Linked DNA regions of Caenorhabditis elegans. The protein of the gene in region 1 interacts with the protein of each later gene in a pairwise test. Each region holds a gene or a part of one and is shown in the gene's direction. Other genes may lie near its edges. The genes, in order: hlh-10 and hlh-2.

Region 1 (4,277 bases):
CCAGTTTTTGAGTGAACATAGGAAAAAATCAAGGCTTGAGAAGAGTTCACCAAACCATTTTTTTCCTAAGTTCCTAAATCTTGATGTATTTTTGTTTGACTAAGAGCAGCGACTGAATATTTTTAATTTGAAGAGTCTCCCATCCGGAGACCAGATTTTTCCAATTTCACAAAGCAAATAGACAGGGAGGGCAAAAAGTTGAGAGAGTGGCAAGGTGCGGCAGTGAGGAAACAGCAGGAGTCTGATATAATCAGGAGCATTGAAAGTTTTCAACTTCTGGAAAATTAAAATCTGTTAGAGGTTTTTTCTGACAAACGCAGATGATTCGTGTTTCGAATAGAGAAAAGACGGATGTGGAGATTGAGAAGGAGAGTCAGGAGGACTATGGCGCGGAGCACAAGCTGTGCTCGTGGTGGAGCACATCTGTGTCTAATCGGTAGAGAATGCGCATGTTGTTTCCATATACCCAGCTGCTACTCGCACAGAGCTTTTGCACATCATTTACTTTTACTTTTTCGGAGCCCTGGAGCTTCTATTTAAACATTTCTTTCAATAGCCAGAAGTCTATAAATTATCATGTAGGTACTCAGAGTACTGGACGAACAAAATGTCAAATTGAAAAACGAAAATGTGTCAATCTTAGTCAAACCACAGCTGTGAACTTTCGGAAGGAGATGAGGTCTGTTCTGGGACTCATTGTGCATTGGCATCTGTTCATCCATCCGCCAGTCGAATGCCAAACCCTTAACTCCATAATGCCTATTCTTGCATAATACGTCTTCAAAGGTTATTTCAATAAAAAAACATTTTTTAAGGCATCAATTTATGGTTGTTAGGTAGATAAAAATATCTTGGGGAGATTGCACAATTTTTGATAATATGGTAATTTTGTACAATGGGTTTCTAAATAGTCATGTGCCACTTAAGGTTATTAAGCGAATATCTAGAATATAAATACATACATACAATTGCGATCTTCGCTCATCCCATTCATACACCATTGTAGGTAATCCTCCATTCCATTTATATTCAGAACGATTCTTTCACTCTCGGCTCTATGCTATACACGTATTCTTATTCTCTTTCCAACTGCTTTCGCTGCAAAAATTATACATAGTATGGCCCATCTGACCTATTGACGTGACATCGTTGTGCTGTCTAATAAACTCACATCCATCAAGACGCCGACGACTATTTCTAATATAAGAAAGGGAAGACGGGAAAAGGAAAAGTCAAATGCTCATAGATGTTCACATTCAATTTAGTTGTATTAGAAGACAAGAAGAACAAATCCGAAGTGTTCTGTTGAACTTTGTAAGAGTTTTCGGATAAATGTAGGATATAATTCAAAGACTACTTCAAACTCGCCTGCCATCTATTTTATGAACATATCTGATAAATAAAGCTAACTCCCGTGTTCGGAATTCGTACAGCGCGAGTTTAAGAACTTCTAATTTTCTAGGAATGGGTCGGGCAGAAGCCCTTTGATCCTAACGTATCTAAAATATTATACCTTCAGATCTCTTCTGGTATCTATTTTATCGAAATTCACAAAAGATAGCAATTAAAAATATCAAAGTTGCAAGAATTTAAAGACGATAAGTATCCTATCCGCTCACAACTCCTTGATACCACTGGTACAAATCAGCGAGAAGTTATTTTTAGAAATCATGGAGAAATCTGTTGCAATAAATTTGCATTATCCATCCGCCCTATCATATTCTTCTCTCATCCCTATAATTAGTTGTTAGGGTTTCCATAGTATTGTGTATAGCTTCTCTTTATCCCTTCTTCTTAACCCCCTTATGTTGTTCCATTCCCGTCTCTTTCACCACCACTTGTGATGCTTTTCTCACACAGCCGGCGAAGCCGTCTGTCTCTGAAAGAAGCCGAATCACCTGTCATATTCAGGTGTTCCCGTACGCTCAACCACACGCACCCTTCGTTTATTCGTATTTCCTTCTGTCAGGCTCCGGGTGTGGTCTACTTTTCATAGCACAATTTCGAGAACTATGGAATCTTCAAGTATGACAACTCATCAAGAAGAGCCATTGGATTTGTCAACTGGAAATCATGGAAACTCGTAAGTATGGCTATGATCGAGAAAAAGTGTAATTATTTTTGAAAATTTGAAGGTGGAGTTCGGAAAATGTTTATTGACAGTGATAAAGTAGTAATTACCGAGTTCTTGTCACTTTTTGAGATAACTATACCATTGCCGCATGTTCGACTCCCTGCAACGTTTGAATATTAATATGTGAAACATAAGTAGACCATAAAATTCAAAGGTAAACATTTTTAATAGACGACTTCGAGAAAAGTGGCAAAAACTGGGTAATAAACACTTTTTGACTGTAAATAAAAAGTTATCAAAAAAATAATGAAAAGATTCACTACGACATTCTATCATTTTGTCATAATGTAATTGTGTTTCAACAATTTCTCCACTGTCGCTACTCCTTTTGAATTCTAAATCTTTAATATTGATGATGTGCTTCTGAAAACAAAAAAACCAAAAAAAGACGTTTAAAAAGAAAACTGCTAGACAAAAAAAAGATGTAGATGTCAAACCATGAAATAAGATACCAACTCCTTTTTTTAGAGAACTGTCCGATGAGCAGCAGATCATGCAAGTGATGGAATCATGTGGCATGTTTTTACAACAGAACCTTTTTGCTTGGTTTCTTCAGTCCATGCTTGAAGCATCTGCATCTCAACCTCAATTAACACAAGATGAGCCACCAGAAAATGATACAAAGGAAAATGACCTCGTTAAGCAAAACAAATCAGAAGTTAATGACGAAAATGAGTCTACTCCAAGTCCAACTCAAAATAGCAGGCGAAGAACTTCCACTGGGAAGATTGATAGAAGAATGGTCGGAAAAATGTGTACGAGAAGGTGAGTTCATAAAATTTATAAAATTTGAGACAATTTTCCATTGTTTTAAACAGTTTCAGATATGAAGCCAATGCAAGAGAAAGAAATAGAGTTCAACAACTTTCAAAAATGTTTGATCAATTGAGAGTCTGCCTTCCAATAGAGGATGACGCAAAAATATCAAAGTTGGCTACGTTGAAGGTATACTGAAAGTTTTAAGAAAAATACTTTCATGGTCAATTAAAATTTGTCTTCGATTTGTAAAAAAAAAAGATTGAGACAAAAGCCAAAAAACGGGAAGGTGGGAAACCACAGAAATATTTGTAAAACGCATAATTTTCCCTTCTAAAAATTGCATTTTTAGGTTGCAAGTTCTTACATTGGATATCTCGGAGCTATTTTACAAGAAAACTCAAACGACGAAGAAGAATTTAAAAAACAACTTCAAGTCGAATTGGAATGTGCAAAAACGTTACGAAAGTAAAAGTACACAATACTCTGTTGAATATTTCCAACCCTGTTCTCATTCTACTTGATCTCTGTGATTAACAAAAACCGTATTGTTGTTTCCAGCTTTTCGGTTTATAATTGTTTGATGTCATCGTTTTACCATTTCCGATGAACTTTTTTTTTATTATAAATTCTTGTTATTGAATTTAAATAAAAATTGAAATCTCATAAAAATTTCATATAATATAATAGCAAAAACAGAATAAGTTTTTGACTTGAATAGGATTGAAATATTACAAGTTTCAGTCTAAGATCTGTAAATTATTTTTTTGCTGACGAAATCGATTGAAAATTAAGGAGCAAGTTTACCTTTCTCGTAAGCAGTACATATTTTAGCACTAGGCTGAAAAATTATGTTCCTGTTTCTATCGAAATTCTGGAGGTGATCTATTGAAAGTGTACAGTTTTTTTTCGGAATTCATGTTTAGTAGTATTCGAATTTTTTGAGTAGCTTCGATAAAATAACCAGTTCGTGAGTTTTTTAGACCTACTGAATTCATTTAAAACGTCAGTTTTCAATGAGACCCACACCACATATTTTTTAGTACAGATTGGTCTTAACTTTTGAATTGATGAATATACCAAAATTTCAATTTATTACACTAATAATCTGAAAAATCTGCATAAATTAAGTTTCATAATTTGTTCCGTGTGTTGATCATACTACAGGAAGAAATTTTTAATGAAAATGAGAAAAATTTCAATTAAAAAATTGTCTACAGCTGAAATCTGAAACAGGGATCAATTTGTTTTGCCTTGCATTAGTGTGTTCAATAATTCCAACAAATCTGCTAATAACTACCAGATTACATTTTATTTAATTTTGAAACATCATTTTTCCGATTGGAATTCGGTCAGGGACTTCATCAAAACATTCGTTTATCTATCC
Region 2 (5,735 bases), on another chromosome or scaffold:
AATAAGTATCACCATTTAGTTAATCATATTTGTAGAACAAATTCGTCATTATTACCGTATTTCTAACTTTTTCTAACCAAACCATTGAGCACTTGAATTTGATGACAGCTGCACTCCGTCCCACAATAGACACCTCCCCAAATACTCTCGAGAAAAAAGTTCCAGTACCGTATACTTTTGACAACATCTGTCAAAAAATGCACTTTAGAGACGGGCATTGGAAGTATCATTTCTTTTTATAATTGTTGGTTTATTACCACAGAGAGACAATTTTAGGATATGGCTCAAGATATTTGAAGACTCGAGTAGTCCCACAGTATTGTGATTGCTGAAACTTCTGTTGTGAATATGAGTAACTTTATTCTAATAAAATATACCCCTTTCCTGTGCACACTCTTTCTCTCACTCTTACCATATTCTGAAGAATTAAAATTTCAGAGATCCCTACAAAACTCTAATAACATGCTTCAAAAATGAATGTACTCCCTACAGTCGGGTGGCGACATTTTCCCCCAAGAGAGCTGACCTCTTCTATTCATTCAATCCCCTTATTCATTCAATCCTTCCCCCATTTTCCTCTCATTTCACCCAAAAAAGACTGGTGAATGAATGGTGGGAGAAGAGATGGAGGACCCCGGGATAATAGAGGATTGTGTGCTGCAGGAGGTAGAGAGAGATGGTTGTGGGCGTGACCTCTCCCGATCATCGTCTCTGCGTCTCTTGGATGTAGACGGTCCCCGGGAGAAAGAATGTCTGCGTCTATGTACACCAATATACTGTTTATGTCCCTTGAATGGGCTTTTATACGCGTCCCTCCACTACCACCACCCTCGAAGAACCATTCCTAGCCACCCGCATAGCCGCTAAGAAGGGGGGAGTGCACTCTTTTCGTCTTTTTTTGTGTCTAAATCTGTTCCGTTTACTAGCTTTTCAAGTTCATGATCTTACTGTAATAAAACATAGCACATATTTTGAATGAAATACATAATGTATCCCATCTTCTGATTTTGAAAATTAAAATTTCTCTCCTCCCAATTTTCAATTTTGGATCTTTTACCAAATAATTTTGATCTGCATTACTTTTTCTCACTCCTACAATGTTTACGAATCCTTACCAATTTTGAATTTAAACAAGAACGCAAATGTATTGTAGGGCAGTTTTTTTTTCAATTATTGAGTTTATCAAAAAATGTATATTTGCATCCGAAATGTTACTAGCTCACGTTTAAAGCTTTCATATATATCTTATCCTACGTCTGAATTTAAACTAATTATTTAGATGGGCCTGAAACCCTTTGATCCATCACCCCTTTACTGTTATTTTATTGCTCTTTCGGGATGTCATCCATCCGATAATCATCTACAATGACATCTACATTTACAACTATTTCTTGATACCATCTCAACATCATTACCTCCCTACAAATTGTTCTCCTTCAAGTAACTTGCTCCTAATAATTTATACCGGAACTTAGTAGATCTATTGTGACGTCACAATTATTATTCTTTATTGATCTACCTTGCCTCTTTTGATCTCGTTTGCCTATTTAACCAAACGAGGAGAATCGATTATTTTCTTCTTTTTCTTATTCTCAATATTTCTTCAAATGGGGTTGTCTTGACGAAAATCTAATCAGAATATATTTACTAACCTAATTTTTTCACCTGCTGCTCCAGCCCAATTCCCTACTTATTCCCTTTCCTCTCCCCGCTTCTCCGCTGACTTTATTTCTTTGACATTACTACTATAATCGTCTTTCATATCATTTCGCAGAAATAAAGTTTTCAGAACCTCAATGGCGGATCCAAATAGCCAACTTACGTCAGCCACAACTGTTGCAACTGCCGCCATTGCTCAACCACAGGTTATGCTTCCAAATGCATATGATTATCCTTATAATATTGATCCGACAACGATTCAGATGCCTGATTATTGGAGTGGTTAGTCTTTTTTTCATTTGAAATCTATTATAATTTCAATTATATCATTTGGTAAACCAAACCAAACATGTTTTCGTGAATTTGTTAAAAGTCGCTTGTAATCAGTTAGAAATATTGGATAAATTGCAGAAAAAGGATATAAGTTTGGTATTACTTATCTCGAATTGTTGAATTGTTGATTTTATAAGCTCGCAAATTTTTAAAATTTACTTTAAGTTGAAACAAAATGTATAACTCTTTTAATGTTCTAAAATTTTGTAAAAATCTGGTTTGCTCTAGTAAGTAGTTTATTAACCAAAATGTTTATATCTCATTTCTCAAGTGCAAGTCATCTAAATAAACATTTTCAGGATACCATCTCAACCCGTATCCTCCGATGCAAACAACGGATATTGATTATTCATCAGCCTTCCTTCCAACACATCCACCAACTGAAACCCCTGCTTCCGTAGCTGCTCCAACTTCTGCAACATCTGATATTAAGCCAATTCATGCAACATCATCCACTTCAACGACGGCTCCATCTACTGCTCCAGCTCCAACTTCAACTACTGATGTGCTTGAGTTAAAGCCAACAACAGCTCCAGCCACGAATTCTGCAGAAACATCAGCGATTGTTGCTCCACAGCCTCTTACTAATCTTACCGCACCAATTGACGCAATGTCATCAATGTATACATGGCCACAAACATATCCAGGTTACCTTCCACCTTCAGAAGATAACAAAGCAAGTGAAGCTGTTAATCCATACATCTCAATCCCTCCAACATATACATTTGGTGCTGATCCATCAGTTGCCGACTTCTCATCGTATCAGCAGCAACTTGCTGGACAGCCGGTACGTTTCTATTCTTCTTGGTTTTATTCGTGTTTTACTGTTTTACCACAAGTTAATCTCGACGAATGATTGCTTGGCCCTCCTCAGCCGCCAAGCATTCACGTATGCATAATCCGCTTCCTTTTGATGTGAGCCGCCGCCTTCTGAAGATTGAGATGCATGCAAAAGGCGGCATCTTCTTGAGAAGAACACCCTGTGCGCACTAAACGACCTCCAAAAAAGTCACTAATGTAAACATAAAACAAGGAGAAACATACAGAAAAGATGGATTAGTTACATAATTAGGCAAAGTTTATCGCTTTTTTTGTTGGAGGAAATTTTTGAGATTCTTTCAGTTTTCTTTAAAATAATTTTTGCCATATGACAATACTAAACATTAAGATTCTGAACTACTGTTGTCGTGAACAAAGTTTTGAGACCCTGATGACATTTTTTTGCGTTCCAGTCTTGAGAAATCTAGAATAATATGGTAAAATCCCTGTATCCAACCTCTGACTAGTGAATAACTAAATTGGCCAAAATTTGAAGCTCTTGCTTTTTGCATTGTTACCCAATAGCCGGTCACATTTTCTGATGGTGTCCTCGAAAACCGAAGGGGGCTATTGACCGACGTCGCCGCATGATTAAGTGGTGAACAGAGACGGTCACATTGCGGGGTTCAGTACATTAAAGAGATCGATTGATTTGACTCGGCCCCCAATAGTACCATTTGAGAGAATTAACTGACTAGCAAGGCAAATGAAATTAATTCTTTGTTTTGTTTCATTGAGAGAAAAAGTTGAGTAGTTTTAGATGAGGGTTATAGAAATTATAAAACCAAAAACAATGAAATATTGCAGAATGGTCTTGGTGGAGATACCAACTTGGTTGACTACAATCATCAATTCCCACCAGCCGGTATGAGCCCACACTTTGATCCAAATGGATATCCAGGAATGACCGGAATGCCACCAGGATCAAGTGCATCATCTGTTCGAAATGATAAGTCTGCATCAAGAGCAACGAGCCGTCGTCGGGTACAAGGCCCTCCATCTTCTGGAATTCCAACTCGCCATTCATCGTCTTCAAGGCTTTCTGATAATGAATCAATGAGTGATGACAAAGATACGGATAGGAGATCACAGAATAATGCTCGAGAAAGGTGAGGAGTTTTTTACTTTTAAGACGTTTTGAATTGAACATTGGAAATTGACAATTACATAGTAATTTAATCGAGATATCTCCAAATCTAATCTAATACAAAAAACTTACAGAGTACGAGTTCGTGACATCAATTCGGCATTCAAAGAGCTCGGACGAATGTGCACACAGCACAATCAGAATACAGAACGGAATCAAACAAAATTGGGAATTCTACACAATGCAGTATCTGTGATTACACAATTGGAAGAACAGGTTAGATAATTTTTCATATTTTAAAGAAACATTCAAATTGTGAACAAAATTAATTGGCAATTGTTCGACTGCTGTATTTTTGACTTTGAAGCACATAACATTGCGATGGAATTTATTCGAAAAATTTAAACAAAACACTGAACAAGTTGAAATTTATAATTTTACAGGTTCGTCAACGAAATATGAATCCAAAAGTGATGGCTGGAATGAAAAGGAAACCTGATGATGATAAAATGAAGATGCTTGATGACAATGCACCATCCGCGCAGTTTGGACATCCACGGTTTTAAATTTAAAAATTGACTTTTTAAGCATTTCAAACTATCATTCCCAATCTTCTCCCAATCATCCATACGGCTAAAACTCTCTAGCATATTGTTTTTTTGTTCAAACTATTCAAATGTTCCCCTTCATCTCCCTCCGGATTGGAGGTCCTGTGATTTCTCAACTTCAATCAGTTTTCAGTTTTAAAAATTTTAAACTTTATTACAAGATCATCACAATTTTCTGTATGTTTTTAATTTATTTTCTCCTCTAAATTTAAATCAATCAATAGCTAATTCTAATATTTCAAGTATTAAAATTAACTTTCATATTATTCATTCATTCAATCAACTTCTTCCAACTTGTCTTATTTTTTGTGTGTGTGTATGTGATAAACCATAGCTAATTAGTATCTACTTGAAATGAAATGGTCCACTCAAAAAAAAAGACACCGCCAACTAATTTCACACATGAATTACTCTATTGGGTAACTGTTTCAACACTTTAATTATCCAAGCTCCGATGAAGTGCTAATGTCCTTCGCAGTATGGATTCCACTTTATGTTGAAAGGGATTCCCATTTATAATTAGACATTTAGTTTGACTTTCTAAGTCGTTGAAACGAGATGTTTTTTTCATGGTCTGTCAAAACTGATGTATAGGAATATTGGATGTATAAAATGTCAACAACGGGAAAAAATGTGATACAAACATAATTCATTCACCTTGATCAAAACAAACAAAATTTTAAAATTCAGAACCCTTTTTGCATCACTCAAATTAACTGGAAAATGGCTTTTCGGACAAGTTCAATTGCATTTGGATGTTTAAGAATTGCCATGTGATCAGCTTGAAATACTTCGTGTACAGTAACCTTATAACCATTATTATTTCCAATCCAATTAGTGCACACTGTAGCTGATTTTTTGTTCACTGTCCCGTCTCCATCACCCATGAATTCAGTTGGTGGATAATCTGGAAAGTATCCGGGAGCCCATGAAAACTTTTCCGGTGTGGGGACTCCTGTTCCATAAATACAATGAACTGGAACTCCTGGAGAACTTAAATTTCCATTCAGACGGGCGGCCTGTTTGTATTGTTCCCATCCAACCATGTAATTAATGTCTTGAAAGAATTCTTTAATATTTCCAACAGTGTAGTTTTTGTCAGCAGTTGTCGCTAATATTTCATGTGGTTTCCATGCAACTGGACTTGGAAACAGAAAGGCCGAAGAGGAGAATGATCTGAAGAACCAAATAAGTTGAAGAAAAACATAATTTGGTAGTCTTAGCACCAT

Evidence for each region.
Region 2: the proteins of hlh-10 (region 1) and hlh-2 interact in a two-hybrid assay, tested with the Caenorhabditis elegans proteins (2 studies listed by BioGRID).

Annotation. Positions count from the first base shown.
Region 1 is NC_003283.11:9,279,787-9,284,063, reverse strand, and holds hlh-10 (Helix-loop-helix protein 10), read left to right. Parts: upstream 1-1,853; 5' UTR 1,854-2,012; coding exon 2,013-2,083; intron 2,084-2,602; coding exon 2,603-2,899; intron 2,900-2,958; coding exon 2,959-3,079; intron 3,080-3,242; coding exon 3,243-3,362; 3' UTR 3,363-3,552; downstream 3,553-4,277. UniProt on the Caenorhabditis elegans protein: Probable transcription factor which binds the E box motif 5'-CA[TC][AG]TG-3'.
Region 2 is NC_003279.8:7,189,969-7,195,703, reverse strand, and holds hlh-2 (Helix-loop-helix protein hlh-2), read left to right. Parts: upstream 1-1,783; 5' UTR 1,784-1,796; coding exon 1,797-1,941; intron 1,942-2,291; coding exon 2,292-2,779; intron 2,780-3,618; coding exon 3,619-3,920; intron 3,921-4,032; coding exon 4,033-4,174; intron 4,175-4,341; coding exon 4,342-4,464; 3' UTR 4,465-4,916; downstream 4,917-5,735. Other genes in the region: plag-15 (PhosphoLipase A2 Group), read right to left, coding at 5,214-5,682. UniProt on the Caenorhabditis elegans protein: Transcription factor which binds the E box motif 5'-CA[TC][AG]TG-3'. Plays a key role in the anchor cell/ventral uterine precursor cell (AC/VU) decision; required for VU fate.